Linked DNA regions of Arabidopsis thaliana. The protein of the gene in region 2 binds, or shares a complex with, the protein of the main gene of each other region. Each region holds a gene or a part of one and is shown on either strand. Other genes may lie near its edges.

The links. The genes of interacting proteins can lie anywhere in the genome.
Region 1: AT1G27890 (region 2) and AT3G58560 share a complex: the UniProt entries of both Arabidopsis thaliana proteins name them as parts of the CCR4-NOT complex.
Region 3: AT1G27890 (region 2) and AT5G11350 share a complex: the UniProt entries of both Arabidopsis thaliana proteins name them as parts of the CCR4-NOT complex.

The regions. Positions count from the first base shown.
Region 1 is NC_003074.8:21,650,038-21,655,858, forward strand, and holds AT3G58560 (DNAse I-like superfamily protein), read right to left. Parts: upstream 4,164-5,821; 5' UTR 3,860-4,163; coding exon 3,702-3,859; intron 3,426-3,701; coding exon 2,687-3,425; intron 2,584-2,686; coding exon 2,497-2,583; intron 2,396-2,496; coding exon 2,312-2,395; intron 2,241-2,311; coding exon 2,154-2,240; intron 2,060-2,153; coding exon 1,973-2,059; intron 1,830-1,972; coding exon 1,776-1,829; intron 1,689-1,775; coding exon 1,597-1,688; intron 1,483-1,596; coding exon 1,368-1,482; intron 1,253-1,367; coding exon 1,105-1,252; intron 1,001-1,104; coding exon 843-1,000; 3' UTR 528-842; downstream 1-527. Other genes in the region: AT3G58550 (Bifunctional inhibitor/lipid-transfer protein/seed storage 2S albumin superfamily protein), read right to left, coding at 1-196. UniProt on the Arabidopsis thaliana protein: Acts as a catalytic component of the CCR4-NOT core complex, which in the nucleus seems to be a general transcription factor, and in the cytoplasm the major mRNA deadenylase involved in mRNA turnover.
Region 2 is NC_003070.9:9,713,627-9,716,894, reverse strand, and holds AT1G27890 (Polynucleotidyl transferase, ribonuclease H-like superfamily protein), read left to right. Parts: upstream 1-1,718; 5' UTR 1,719-1,850; coding exon 1,851-2,759; downstream 2,760-3,268. Other genes in the region: AT1G27900 (RNA helicase family protein), read left to right, coding at 288-357, 556-716, 849-1,024, 1,133-1,280; AT1G27880 (DEAD/DEAH box RNA helicase family protein), read right to left, coding at 2,994-3,090, 3,179-3,268. UniProt on the Arabidopsis thaliana protein: Ubiquitous transcription factor required for a diverse set of processes. It is a component of the CCR4 complex involved in the control of gene expression.
Region 3 is NC_003076.8:3,619,808-3,625,939, reverse strand, and holds AT5G11350 (DNAse I-like superfamily protein), read right to left. Parts: upstream 4,422-6,132; 5' UTR 4,358-4,421; coding exon 4,256-4,357; intron 4,173-4,255; coding exon 3,731-4,172; exon of another isoform or gene 3,724-3,730; coding exon of another isoform or gene 3,663-3,723; coding exon 3,496-3,662; intron 3,348-3,495; coding exon 3,282-3,347; intron 3,148-3,281; coding exon 3,095-3,147; intron 3,022-3,094; coding exon 2,940-3,021; intron 2,863-2,939; coding exon 2,813-2,862; intron 2,659-2,812; coding exon 2,577-2,658; intron 2,364-2,576; coding exon 2,271-2,363; intron 2,185-2,270; coding exon 2,152-2,184; intron 2,066-2,151; coding exon 1,977-2,065; intron 1,835-1,976; coding exon 1,072-1,834; intron 979-1,071; coding exon 893-978; coding exon of another isoform or gene 886-892; intron 778-885; coding exon 693-777; coding exon of another isoform or gene 666-692; intron 603-665; coding exon 528-602; downstream 1-527. Other genes in the region: AT5G11360 (Interleukin-1 receptor-associated kinase 4 protein), read left to right, coding at 1-104; AT5G11340 (Acyl-CoA N-acyltransferases (NAT) superfamily protein), read right to left, coding at 4,872-5,089, 5,428-5,550. UniProt on the Arabidopsis thaliana protein: Acts as a catalytic component of the CCR4-NOT core complex, which in the nucleus seems to be a general transcription factor, and in the cytoplasm the major mRNA deadenylase involved in mRNA turnover.

The DNA of each region.
Region 1 (5,821 bases), on a different chromosome or scaffold from region 2:
TGCTGCAACATGTTGAGTCTGGTGCTTTAGCTTTGTTAGTGACAAAAGGAAGACAAGAGTAGAGATCAGACATCGCATCCTGACATCCCTTTATATCCTGACTCAATTCTGATCTCACACCAAGGAACATTACTGCTACTGTTATGCATAGAGCCAACATTTGTGGATTTTGATTGTAAGCCATGAATCTAGCCATCAGTTAATGCAGCAGAGTAAGAACTTAATGTGGCTTTTTATAAGACTTGTTTCTTGTTCACATATGTTTCCCTCTCTAGTTATAGGGATACTCGAGAGTTCTAAGTCTGCAAGAAACTTGATTTAAAAGGATTATATAATGAGTACTGGTTAACATGTCTAATTTCTGAATTGAAATTTGAGTTTTGGAATTTGGATCATCTTCAGTTATTGGAGGGGTACATATAAAATATATCAAGTTGTTCACAGTTCGTTTTCACAGTATCTGCAAGATATCTACAAGTGAAGAGACTAGAAAATTGATGGTTAAGCTGTAGGGTTAAGAGTGTAAGGAGGATTGCAACCATAGAAGACACAGATTTTAATATGGAAAAGGTGAAGTCACTATTTTCTTGAAGAATCTAATTGTTTACATTGTTACAATCACAAGCCAGTGAAGACAAAACTTTCTGGCAAAGAGGAAATAACTATAGAAAGAAAAGCCAAGCGAACCAAGCAGTAAATAAAACTGTGATACAGAGTAGAACGCAAGCGAAAAACCCAGCGGGAGAAACCCCAGGGACATGGCCATGCTATCTACTTCATGTAGCTTAACCATATCCATTGGAACCAGTCTTTGGTATCGGGTTATTACAGCTGCAGTATCTCTATAAAATATTGTTTCGTCTGGCCCTGGGCATGCAGCGAAATTCAGCCAAAAGTGCAATGTGATCAGAAGACCATTCTGGAGATGGAAGAGCTGTGTCCTTCCTCAAGGACTCTTCATCCAACAGTTCCAACAACGATTCCACTGTTAGCGTGTCCGCTGAAACAAAACAAAAAGCAAATTGCTTACCAGATGAAAAAGAAATCTGAGATGAAAGCAAACACTGGCGCGTAAAACCCCTGAAAGTAAGCACTTAAGTTAACCTGTGTAAAATATGTAATCAAGTGTGCCTATAAAGTCCCTGGTACAGTTGGTAAACAACGGTTCACTTGATGCAGGATCCAGTCTTCTACGTTGCTGCTCAGTAATAACGTTGCCTCCCATTTTTGCAAATTGTGAGTAGGCACTAACCTGCAATGGTCACAAAGGTATGATGTCTACGCATATGTTGCCATTCTAATTAAAATTGAAGTCTGCCTTTCACGATTCTGTGCATCTGTTTTCCATTTTTGGGAAAGATAATTACCAGTGGCAGCTGATGAGTAAGCTTGCTGTGAGGACGTAAAATTCCAAGAGGATCAACCATCAAATCTGGGTGCAATGGATCGACCTTTCCCACAGCAAGAAGTGTATGAGGAGCACTGAAAATATTAAGAAGGAACTCCAAGTTAATTCAGGTAGAAACCACAATCATAATTTAATATAGAGTTTGACAATTGCTACTTGGGCATAACAAATAGGAAAACCAGCCAGACCTCGCAGGTACTGTGTTGAAATCTCCACACACAAGCATTGGAATATCTGCACTGGCAGCTATTTTCTCCAGTCCCTTCAATAATGTGTGAACCTATTTGGGCAAGAATCATTATGGATCAATAGTGATGTAAGAATCCGAAATCTGAGAGTTCTTTTACAATGAGAAATAAAGACCAACCTGCCACAGCTTTACATCTTTCAATTCATGAGGAACGTTTACATGCGTGTTAGCCTGCACCCATCAAATACATGAAAAGAGAGAAAACATGATCACCTCGAGACCTTTAAAGGAGAAGAGGAAGTGGAAACACATAACTTCAACTCTAGCATCATCTCTGACAATAAAGAACAATATTGAAAAGATGGACAACTTACCACACAAAGTAGCTGGCGCTTCCCAGGATTGTCAGCAGCCTGGCTACCGAATTTTGCTTCCAGTACAACTATTAAAGCAACATTATCCTAAAAAGAAAGACTCTAAATCAGTTTTACATGAAAAAATATCACCAAGAATGTGCGGAAAACAGAAATCATACTATAGAGCATCTCAGAGTACCTTGACCAACCGATTCAAAGCATTTTTCTTCTGGGAAACAGGGATAATAGCCTCAGTCAAAGACTGTGCAGCCTTGTTGAACTCAACCTGGATGAGCAGCCCAATGATTTAGCAAATGGGCCTAATTAGATAGGTAACAGGAGAAAACTAAGACATACCTCATATTTTTTTACATGTGAGAACCTGTCTCTTCTGAAGAAAGTAGCGCACCCATCAATTGTGTTTGTATTACCGATGAAAACCTAAAATTATCCAGTGAATCAATATTTTCTGGTTGGTACATCTTGCAGATAAGTGACCACGAAAAGGTAATGGAAGATCAAGGGGATGCGTTGAAGCAAACCTCATTTGTTTTCCTCTTAAAAAGACCTTGGTATCCGTGTTTATCCAGCTCAGGAAGAAAAAACTCCTCAAAATGATCATTCTGTACCTGCAAGATGAAAAACGAAAATATTGGAGAGGTATTTATCCATTAACTAGCAATTGAAACGTTTCCAAGTCAGTACAACTTGTGCCATAAATATTTAACATACCTCTTGTAGACAAACTATATCTGCACGGTACTTGACAATTTCCCGTAACAAATTCTGTCTACGGTATGTCCAAGCGAGAGCCCATGTGGGGCAGTAACTGTATATGTCGCTGCTAGCATATGTATCAGACAATATATTGTAGGACAGCACAGTGAATGTTCCCATAGACAAAGGCCGCCCATTAGAATCCAGGTGCCCAGTAACATCAGTTCCACTAATAGAGATCAGCCTACGCGGAGAAGGTGATGGAGCTGGGATAACACGGGAAGTCAATATGGTACAAGAAAGGCCCACATTCTGTTTTGTCTCTGCATTGACTACTACACATTCAAACTTCAAAACATGGCAAATATCATCAGCCATTGGTGTGTATGTCTTAGAGCGTCCAACCTCAACAAGTGTTTCTCCTCCGGCGCCGGTCTTTTGAGTTATGGCTGAAGGATAAACTGATGATGACCCATTCGTTAAACTAACACTGGTGCTGAGAACACCAGATCCAGACCCTGAGCTATTCAAACGGGGCAACTCTTCTTCATCATTTCCTTCTGTAGCAGCACTGGCAGCACGCTCATGCAACACACGGTGATGTTGCCACGCATCCGAAAAGCACTTAGTAGAGCAATGGTAGCTTTTGGCAACAGGAACTTTAGACTTTAGACATCCCAGACACTGCAATGTTGCCGTCTCGGATGGATGCACACTACAAATCGCAACTTTCTTATCACTCTGTACTCGAAACCTGCAACAGATGATGCATCTTTTAATACAGAACCAAAAGACAAGACTGGAGACTTATAAACCCTACTTTACAATTAAAGAAATCATTTTTCACACTCAAATTTGCAAACGAACAAAGACTTGAACTGACTAAGAAACACTTAAACAAATCATACCCGGGAATTCACAGAAAAGTCTCAAACTTTCGGTAAAAAAAAGTCGTCCATAACAAACTCGAGCAAAAGCTAGTAAAAGGGAGCAGATTTAAGAGTAAAAGGAAGCCACAGGCATGACTTACCATCTGTACTTTAAGAAGTGACCTTCAAGCGGGGCTGACTCAGGCACATCATCGGTGGAGGGGGTCTTATCAGGCCGCCGGAGAAGTACGTAAGGTGTAAGTTCGCAGCCAACAATAGGAATCTCCGACGGTAGATGCACTCGTATAACGCTAAGCATTGCTTTTACCGTAACTAAGTTAAATTCTGAAAGCAAACCAACACTAACGAAGCCCAAAGGCTGAGATTTTTAAATATATATATTGAGACGAGAGAGCATAAGATATAAAACGGATCCTAATGGATCCGTCATTTACTTGACCCTAAAACTCGACAGCATGGATGAACCCTAATTTTCCCAGAACCCTAATTTTCCCAGAACCCTAGATTTACCCCCAATTTTCTCCAAACCCGAATTTTACAACCTAAAATTTATGAAATTGAAATCCAATGAGTGGGATAGATTTGTTCGCTACGACTAAATTAATTTCCAAAGATGGACAAAGACCAAAGAAAAATACTTGGGTTCTATATTCACTGTTTTAGCCCATTAAAATTTAAAACCTAATAATAATAATAAAAGTTTAATTTAATTATAAAATCTAATTTGCCTCAAAAACAAAATTATATATCGATTTGAGTTTATTTGAAAAAATCATGGTTTAGATTTTACAATTAAACAAGGTTAAATATTGATTTGGGTTTAGAAAATACGATTAGGGTTTAGATTTTATGATTAAACGAGATTAAATATCGGTTTTGGTTTAGAAAGTACGATTAAGGTTTAGATTTTATGATTAAACGGGTTAAATATTGGTTTAGATTTATTAACAGGTTTAGATTTAACAATTAAACAAGGTTAAATGTCGGTTTGGGTTTAGAAAATACGATTAGGGTTTAGTTTTTTTACGACTAAATGAGTTTAAATGGCGGTTTGGATTTACAAAGAAGAATTAGGGTTTAGATTTTGTAATTAAACGAAATTATATATCGGTTTGGATTATAATTATAGCTTCAATTTATTATGTAATTTAAATAGGATTTGACATGACATATTTTTATTAGTTAATGCAAAAGGAGGTGAACAAAGAGGTTCATCCCCCTAGGAATGAACGCAAGTCTCGTTCAAGACCAAATATGGACTCGTATTTTTATTTTATTTTATTTTCCAAAGGGAAACAAAAAGTCTTTAATACTCTTTTTTCTATATACACATATATTCACCTATTTATAATAAAAAAGATTGAAACTTACGGAAAATATAATACAGTACAAACTATATATGTCAACTAAACTAAATAACACTTAATTAAATGATGTATATAGATTGCATAACCAAGTATATAATATTATATAGTTAACATTATAAATATAAAATTTCATGTTAAATAACCAATTAACTCTAACGTCAACCGGTGTTAACCAACAAAAATATTCAAAAATAAATTTTTACTTTATTTTTAATATTAAAAATCTAGTTTTACTAGTTATTCTATAATCAAAAAACAATTTTTACATCTACTATAAAAATATTTTGCATATATATTTAATACATTGATTCTTAAAATATTTAGCTTTTTTTAATTTCAAAACTAAACTAAAAATGAAAAAAATGATTAAAATTTTTAAAACAAAAAAAAAACTGAAATTAAAACCAGAAAAATCTTATTAGAAACATATGAGTGAAAGAATCTTTTTTTTGTATTATCAATTAAAATATATAAACTTCTTTATTCATTAGAAAATAAATCATTACAGAACCAAATACACATGACTATATAAGTTTCATAAGAAAGTAATATGAAAAACAATTGAGTATATAACTTTTTAGTCTAAATTTTGCACGGTAATTTTTAAATTCAAAGTAAATGTTTTTTACGAATAATATAAGAAAAAACTAACTATTGATTAAAAATATTTAGCAATTAAAAATTTAACTTCTTAAGAAACTAACTATTATTATTATTATTATGAATAGTTCATATCTTAAAAAAATATTTATTCTCTTAGTTTAGTTTTGAAATTGAAAAAATAAAGTAAATATTATATGAATTAATGCATTATATATATATACAAAATATATTTATATTGGATATAAATATATTTTTTTGTATTTTACAATATCAAATAACATTAATTTTTT
Region 2 (3,268 bases):
TGGTGACATCAAAAGCCTTACTGCATTGTTACTTCAGAAGGTGGTCAGTTATATGCTGTCTCTGCAGTTAATACAATCTATATAGCATAGAAAATCCCTTCATTGTTGAGACCTGACTCCGATGGGCGTCAATGTTTGTATTTTCTGCTTCATACAGTTTTATAACCAACAATTATGGGAGTTACTGAAATTTACTACCTTTGTTTAGATAGTCTATTTCGGTACATTATTACGTGGGTTCCTTATGCCAATAAGAAAGATAACTTTTGTTGAAAAATAATTTGCAGGTGCGAGGGATGGTGTTTGTCAAAGATGTTAGAAGACAGTTATGTCAGATTATGCAGAAAATATCCAAAGGTTAGATTGTTTCATGACAAGAAGATTCCGTGAAAGAATATATAATTATTTCTCTATGGCTTTCACCCTAAATGGTTATGCCTCCAACAGAACCAGAGTTTATGTCAACATCACTCTTTTATCTTGTGAGATGTGATAGGTGGCTGTGTCATACCTAACCAACCGTCACTAAAATATTTGGTCTCCTTGACAAACTAGATCGATTGGAAGTTGGGGCAGATGGTAGGAAGAGTTCAAGCCGAGACGACTACAGGAAGTTGAGGAAAGCTCTATGCGTTGGTAATGCAAACCAAATTGCTGAGAGAATGCTTCGTCACAATGGATACCGGACTCTTAGTTTCCAGTCCCAGCTAGTCCAGGCATTACTTCTCAATCCAAGTCTCATTTATCTGTTACAGTGTTAGATTTTCTATTACATCAGTAGCTCAGATATGTAAGCATTTCCAGTTTCGTATGATCATCGACATATTGACGTTTTTGGTTGATTCTAGGTGCATCCATCATCTGTATTGAGTGCCGACAATGACGGAATGATGCCTAACTACGTAGTGTACCATGAGCTGATTTCCACCACACGTCCGTTCATGCGGAATGTTTGTGCAGTAGATATGGCATGGGTGGCTCCCATCAAAAGAAAGATCGAGAAATTAAATGTCAGAAAATTGAGGTAAAAACAAACATTACTCTTTACTAGTTCAATCCAGTCTTGTTCTAGCTTTTTCTTGTCTGGTCTTGGATTCAGTAATTGATCGGTATCATTTAATCTGCCATGTAGCGGTGGACCGGCTCCCTCTTTCAAAGTACCTGAGGAGAAGACGGAGTTGTCTAAAAACAATGCAGAAACACCTGCAGTTTCTGAAAATGTTGAGAGTCGGATTGAAGCAGCCAGAGAACGCTTTCTTGCTCGTAAAGGACAGAAATAAATTTGATGTCTCAAACATAAATACAAGATTCAACTAGCCCTATAAAGAATAGAAAAGAGAAGCTTTCTGTAGAAGATTTGTTATTAGAGACAATTTTCAAATTTTGTATGTTCTGTTTTTTTTTTTTTTGGCTCAACTTAAACTTTTCTTTATTCTCATTCGACATGAGTTTTAAATTTTTAACCCAATTTGGTATGTTCTTAGTATTATGTTTAAAAGATGATAATGTTTACACGAAAAAAGAAAAGAAAAAGGTTTTGGTATTAGTCAGACTTCGGTTTAGTGATTTAATTCGGTTTAGTATTAAAATTGTAAACCGCTTCGGAAACAGGCTTCTCTTATTTTGGGCTTTTGAGAGGAAAATGGAAATCTCGTGTCCAACAAGAATTAAATTAGGAGTGATAAAAGTCAACACGAACTTTTTGACTGGAAAAAAATGGAAACTTTCCGGCGACGTAAGAAAAAAGGAAACTCCCACTGCTATTAGTATTCGAGTCTCCGAAATCAGATAGAGAGAGAGATTAGTATTTCAGATAAACAAACTGTTTCAGTCTTCAAAATCCGAGAGAGATGGGTGAAGTTTGGAGATGGAACAAGGAAGTAGAGATGGATTCGATAAGAGATTGTTTGAAACATTTTAGTTCCATCGCTATCGACACAGAGTTTCCCGGATGCTTAAAGGAGACTCCGATGGACGCGAGTGAGGAAATTCGTTACAGAGACATGAAGTTCAATGTGGACAACACCCATCTCATCCAGTTAGGTTTCACGCTATTCGACAGAAGAGGAATCACTAAAACCTGGGAAATAAACTTGTCAGATTTCAACGAACATAAGTGCTTCAAAAACGATAAGTCCATAGCTTTTCTCAAAAGCAATGGTCTCAATCTGGACAAGATCGGAGAGGAAGGTATTGGAATCGAAGAATTCTTTAGAGACTTTTCTCAGATTCTCAAGGAGAAGGACGGAAAGATAACTTGGGTGAATTTTCAAGGCTCTTACGACAATGCTTATCTCGTTAAAGGCTTAACGGGAGGGAAACCGTTACCGGAGACTAAGGAAGAGTTTCACGAGACCGTCGAGCAGCTTTTGGGAAAGTTTGTTTTTGACGTAAAGAAAATCGCTGAATCATGCAGCGGACTAAGTAGCCGATTCGGACTACAGAGAATAGCTGATGTGTTGCAGATGAAACGTGTTGGAAAAGCTCATCACGCTGGCTCAGACAGTGAATTGACGGCTCGTGTCTTCACTAAGTTGACTTTCGATTTGCTCAATAGTAGAAAGCAGTGTGTAAGACGAGTTGATCATCAGCAATATCAACTAGAGCAGCAGCAGCTTATGATGACTAGATGTTACATCCCAATACCGATACCTATACCGAGACCGAGATCGGTGATGTTTGCTGCTCATCACCCGAACCCGTATTTTGGTGGTGGTTACTTTGGGATGCCGGTCCAAGGAAGGAACTACGTTTTGTGATGCCTGAATGTTTGTTTAACATGACTTGCTCTGCTATTATGTATAATTTCTAGTTTTATCAGATGTTTCTTTAAATACTAAAGATTAACTTTCATCTTTTCTTGTCGATCAAAACAATTCTCTCAACTCTCATATGACACAATTTCTCTTTACTGGATACTTTCAATGAATCTAGAATACAATACAAATAAATTTAAATATCCTAAGAATCTACTCAAAGCCTCTAATCTTATGTTATGTAGCTAAAGCTGCGTTCCTGTCAACAAAATTGAACAACTCTGTTTGTGCCGCTTCCATTATCACTCGGAAGTCTACGTTCATATACCTTCCCCTGCAAAGCCATATTTCAATTAAATCACATGTACCATCACCAAACAATAACTTGCATGGCTTGGTTTAGCTGATGATGATGAATATACCAGAAATGAGTCTTGGACCAGACTGAATTCGGAAAAGCTGGACTTCCAACTCCGTGCATTATTCTCGCGATGGCTCTTGGTGTGAATTTG
Region 3 (6,132 bases), on a different chromosome or scaffold from region 2:
TTGTCACACTCATCCAAAGATGCACCAATCGGGACAAGAAGAAACGACCATTGATGCAAGAAGTTTTGGATGCTCTGAATTATATTGCAGGGATTAGGTCCTAATGTGAGATGTCCTTATATTGGACACAGGGACATGGATAAATGCTAGGTGTTTATTTGTAATAATTGAAAGAGTCAGTCTAGACTAAAGCTGAAAGAGTTAGGGGTTAACAATTGAAGCTATTTAAAATCAAGAAGCATGCTTTAAACTTTTATAGCAGATTTTCTGAAATCGAGTGTCGCCCAAAAAGAAAAACTCAAATATAATTTGTCACTGTAAAATATGATAGAGAAAAATACAAAACTAGAGCCTATGAGATTCTGTAAAAGTTTACTCTTAGATGTTTTGCTGGGATATAAAATAAGCTATTGGCGACCTTCAGAGCACAAACATTGCAACAAGGATGTGCTTTGAACCCAAGACCTCAACCATCTAATCTCTTTACACTTTCTTAGATTTCTAATGAACTCACCACCAGTTTAATATCAGCTTTTGGGCAGAGTTTTGCTGCTGCAGAAGGCCAACTCTGAAACCAGTGCAATGTGATCGCTTCCCCATTTCTGTAACAAACCAGAAATACAAACATAAAAAAGTTTTGTAAACAATTCAGTTAAAAAGGTAGGCTATATAAGAATATCATGGGATTTTACAGGAGTCGGGAAGCCTGGAGTCCACTGCATTGCTTGCTTTGGTATTGGAGCAAGCACACGCACTGTTTGAAGACCTTCCGACCGCCTAACCCAAACCAGAAATCAAACATGAGAATATGTCAAAACGCGCATAATTTACAATAATGAAGTAATCTAATTTTAAGGTTTGTCACAAATGGTTTTGCTTCTAATGCTAATACCATATGTAGTCAACTGTCCCCATGAAACATCTGTGATAACTGGTCACTACAGGTTCTCCGTTTTCATCCCTTGTGTTTGCTTGACCCTAACCACAAATTTCAACAGCTTCCTAAGGATATAATTTCTCAAGAAACAGAAGATAAAAGGGAAAAACTGTAGGGAGGATATATTACAATACCTCCACTTCTGAGTATGTGCTTTTAAGCTCCAGAGCATGTTCAACCGTAGTTCTCTCTGGGTCACCAGTTGCAGTTGCTATCTCCATTGGAGTCCAAGAGGATGGACTATAAGTGATTTTGTCACTATTTAAAGCTTCAGAACTCCATTTAAGTGGAACTTCACTCACAAGTTCCCCTTTTTGACTCAAGTTTTCATTGTTATCGTGTAGCTTAGCCAAAAAGGTTTCCCCATCTTCACCTAAACTTTCTTCATCTTGCGCGAATACTACTGGTTCGTCCAATTTTAAGCCATCTAGTTTCATTTCAGCCACAAAAGTGTCAACCTTGGTGGAGAGACTAGATGAAATATCTTGATCACTGGAACATATTTCCTCAGGAGTTTGCTCTGTTTCTGATAAACCGGAACTTACAGAACGATCTGTATTCAAATCTTCTCTAGCACTGGAAGCATGTTGAGGTTCTGTATCTGATATGGTTAGTGAAGAAAGATCTTCAGCTGTCGAGAGATTCCCGGAATCATCAGGTTTTCTGTTTTCTATTCCAAACTGACAATCTGAGGCCATATTCTCGCATGGTAATACTTGGTCAGAGCTGGAGGTGGCTTCGTGACCAGCAAGAATTGTATCACCACATGGAAGCTCAGATGTCTTCTCGGAGGGGGCCGTTCCAACATCTATGTTGGAGTTATTCTCCATATGAGCATTTGTGATCAAATTTGGTGGTTGAACTTGACCTTGTGGAGATTTGTTGGCGGACTGATACCTGGAAAATTGAGGAGGCCTATCAACCATGCTGACAATTGCAAAAGCAGAGTAGAACCCGATATTCTAGGGTAGACATGGAGGTGTTAAGTTGCATAACCATATACTTAATGATGTCGAAGAACTTGGTGAGTTTGCTCTACCTCGTTGTATAATTTTCTGGCCTTGGTGGACGAAACTCAGCAGAAACTTGCCCCGAAACTTTGTCTCTGGCCAAACCAGACAAATCCAACTGCAGAGAGCAGCACAAGACACAATGTGAACCATATATATAATGTTGCGAATAGGTGAAGGACTTTCCTAACAATGAAGCTTTACCTTCCGGTCTGAAATAAAGTTGTACAAAGGACTCTGCAACCAGGTGGAAGAATGTTATGACCATGTCACAAAACAAGTTTTTTGGGGTATACAAACTGGTTAAGGTAAGATTGTCCTACCTTTGGTGTACAATTGAAATCCCCACAAAGAACAATAGGCGCATCATCCCAGAGTTTTGAAACAGCATGAGCTTTATCTAAGAGTGTTCTGACCTACGTAACAGAGATAAATACATAGATGATAAATGGAAACAGTTAAAGAAACCAAGTTAAGCAAGGGGCGAAGCGTTTGGTTTCAAAAGTTTTATCTCAAACACCTAACACTTATACATGTTCATAGCGTATAGACAGAGTTAAACCAGAGAGTAAAACTGTCGTTTGGCAAAAGATTTCTACAAACTAGAATATGGCATTAAAGGAAAGTACCTGACCAAGTTTAAAGTCTCCTCTTTTAGGATTAAAAAGCACGTGAATGTTACAAATGACAACTCGATGGGAACCAGCAGAGCTGTAAAAGAAATTGGTAATTCACTTCAACCCACCCACAAAGTATAGTCCATACAGAAAACCACTGAAATCTGAAGAAAATCGGCCACTTCCTAGTGAAATTATCCACCCATAAAATGATATGATAGTAACATTTACAGATACTTTTAAGTTACCTTTCAGGTGGAGGGGTCTCATTTTCTTTTGTATGTGAAGTCAACAATGTCTACACAGAGCAAATTTAATTTAGGGCAAAGAGGCAAATGTATATAAGTCACTATCAACATAAGGTATCCATATTACCTCAAGCACACATATTTGAGCAACGTTATCTCGGAGACCAAGTTGATTGAACTGGATGCTTTCCTCGTGAACCAACTTGAATCTAATATGATAACAATGAAATCCTAAACAAGATTCCAGACTGATCCACACAAGGAAGAGCAAGGGAATCAAACCTATTGGATCGCCAAAATATTGCACATCCGTCAACAGCATTACCAGTCCGCATCTACAGTTTTATAAAATAGAGTTAACCCCACATTTGAAGCCTAGTTCTTATGATGCATACCATTTAATCTTTACTCCAAGAGAGTCCGTAGAGAATACAAACTCAAGACAACTAAAAGTTTTCAACAAACCTACCTTCCAAATAGCACTATATCCCCGGTGCTTCATCTCCTCCTCTAAGTCCTGAAATTTATCAACTTCCTGACATATACAAAATAATTTTAGATTACTATACATATGGAAGATACATTCTGTATACATATGATAAAAAAATAGTAAAGCAAGAAAGTTTTGTCTCCTTAGTCCCTCATACAAGCAATTACCAAGAAGATATAGCAGAAACTATAACCTGAAGGCACATTATATCTGCAGACCATAGGCTAAGCTCGAACACTAATTTGCTCTTTCTCCATCCCCAACTCAACATATTCCTCGGTATGTGAAAGTAAAGACTTCTCCAGTGATCATTTGCAAGGTAATCCGCCAATATATTATACGATAAAACAACAAACTTTTCTGTAGACAAGAGAAAGCAAATCAAAAATTGTATACCGGAGCAAATGAGATGGTCACGCATAAATTACCGGAGCCAGGAGACGGTGGCGTTTTGGCATATTCCCATTCACGGTAATCTGAAGGTTTTGACCGTGGCCGTTGACGAAAGCTCTGCTGTGGAGGCGGCCGGGACATCTGGTTTTGATAGAACGGAGGGGGAGGGCAAGCCGCGTAGTTTTGATTAGACGGAAACTGATTAGGTTGACGGAATTGTTGCCACTGACCTCGTGACGGCGGCGGAGGTCGAAATTCGTAATTCTGATTGAACGGTGGTTGCTGCCGCTGATCAAGCGGAGGCTGATGTTGTCGATAAGGTTCACCATGCCGGAATCGGAAATTGGCGTCATGAACTGATTGAAAATGAGAATCTCCAGTAACGAACTGATCTCTTCCCGCGTCATCATTGTACGGACGATCGGAGAAACTTCTCCCACCTCGGCCTCGTCCTCGTCCTCGGGCACCTCTGTACTGCTTCGTAAGAAACAAATTATATTCCAGTAACCGAAGCAACGCAGCGGGAGTGATAGAACAAGAGAATAGCTGAGAAAATTTACCGGAGCACGAGTAGACATGGTGAAGATTGGAGCAGAGATAGTGGAGGCGTCAGCGAAGGTAACGTCGGAGAAAACTTGAGCAACAAAACGAGAACGCCGCATTGGTCAATCGAATTGAGTGAGGAAGCTCGAGGAACCGGTGCTTAATTGCAGACACCGATGAACGGAGACTCATAAGACGTGCCGTTTTTTGATTCAAGAAGAACACATCTTCCAGTCTTCACTGTGAATAAATGGCACGCAAGCCAAAACGCAAGTCATAAATTCTTCATTTTTTTCTTTACTTTATTCTACAGCTCATAACAAGAATCATTGTCTCTCTTTACTCAAATTCATAGACCAACATTTACAAACACGATGATACTTGGTAGTAAAGCTTTGAGTTGCAAAGTTAAAAACTTTTCCAAACGAAAATGTCCAAAGCCAAGAGGACATTAGAGAAATCATGCAAGTATATAACCAGGAATTTATAAATTTAGAATCAGTAAGAAAAATTAAGGTCAACAAAACAAGCAAAACTCGGAAACCGAAGGATCATCATAACATTAATAGATCTTGAACTGAATGCAACAAAGAAACTGGGGAGGAATGGCTTCCCCAAGTTTGGTATTTTTCATCATTTGTTGGCTTCAGATTGAGCAAAGGACTTGCTGACAACGTAGCAATCTCTTGGCTCAATGTTGATGTAATAGTTTTGTATGGTATCTGTGATCTCAAAGCCGAACTTCTTGTAGAACTTGATTGCGTCTTCGTTGTTTGTCTGCACATGCAAGTATATCTCACACATGTTTTGCTTGGAGCACATGTCAAGAACATGATTCAATAGATTTGAGCCTGCAAAAGACGAAAAAAACAAGATACACAAATTATAGACATCGAGTTTTTCTTTCTAAAGCAGGGAATTCGATCTTAAATCTTGATATAGGAGGAATCATAATTCCAGTTTCTCGGTAAAACAACGATATGCATAAAACCCTAAGGACTATTTCTTGGTGGTTTGAATCTCTAAATGGAGACACTTCAAATAGAGAACTACAGAATAAACATACTACAGCTGGCCTCATGTGTTAAAACGTAAGGAAAACAACAGAATTACACAACATGCTAACAGTTTTCTTCATTATTCATGTTTTGTCGGTATTCAAGTTTTGCACAGCAGATTTATGACTTACCAATGCCAATCCCACGGTAGGGTGCAAGAACACCAAGCGTCATTATATAAACTCGCATGGCCCCACTTTCTTTCTTCTCCAGCCGACAGGCGATAGCTCCAACACATATGTCATTGTAATATGCTGAGAGGAAGTCAATCCATTATTAGAACATGAAGAATTTTCCTTGATCACAAATTAGAGAAAATATATGTAACACCAAGAACATAACTACCCAAGCAACTGCAATGAAATAGTTAGTACCAAATTTAAGACGTTGTTAACAGTCTTTAGACTTTCATAATCACATCTTATTGTACATTTAAAGAACTAGTTGACGCAAAAGATGTTCCAACCAAGGGTTTCACAAAAGTGAGCTTGAAAAAATTCTGTGAATACGAAAATTAGTCTTGGACCATGTTCTCGAAAGATAATATAAGTCAATCAGCGATAGATTACAAGGTACACATGCTTAACATACAAAAAATTTTGCTTGGTTGAACAAAAGAATGCAGTATTCATATAGTCAAACAACTTAAAACAACGATCAAGATGATACTTTGTCAACATCAATGTCATCAACCACAAAGTTCAAACATGAATCGGTAATTACGAAACAACAGACAATAGAAAGCAAACAAAATCGATCCATTCAAGGCTTAGAAAGAAGGCTTCTACCAATATTACCGATAAAATCATCTTCTTCCTAGTATCAGACACTAGTAC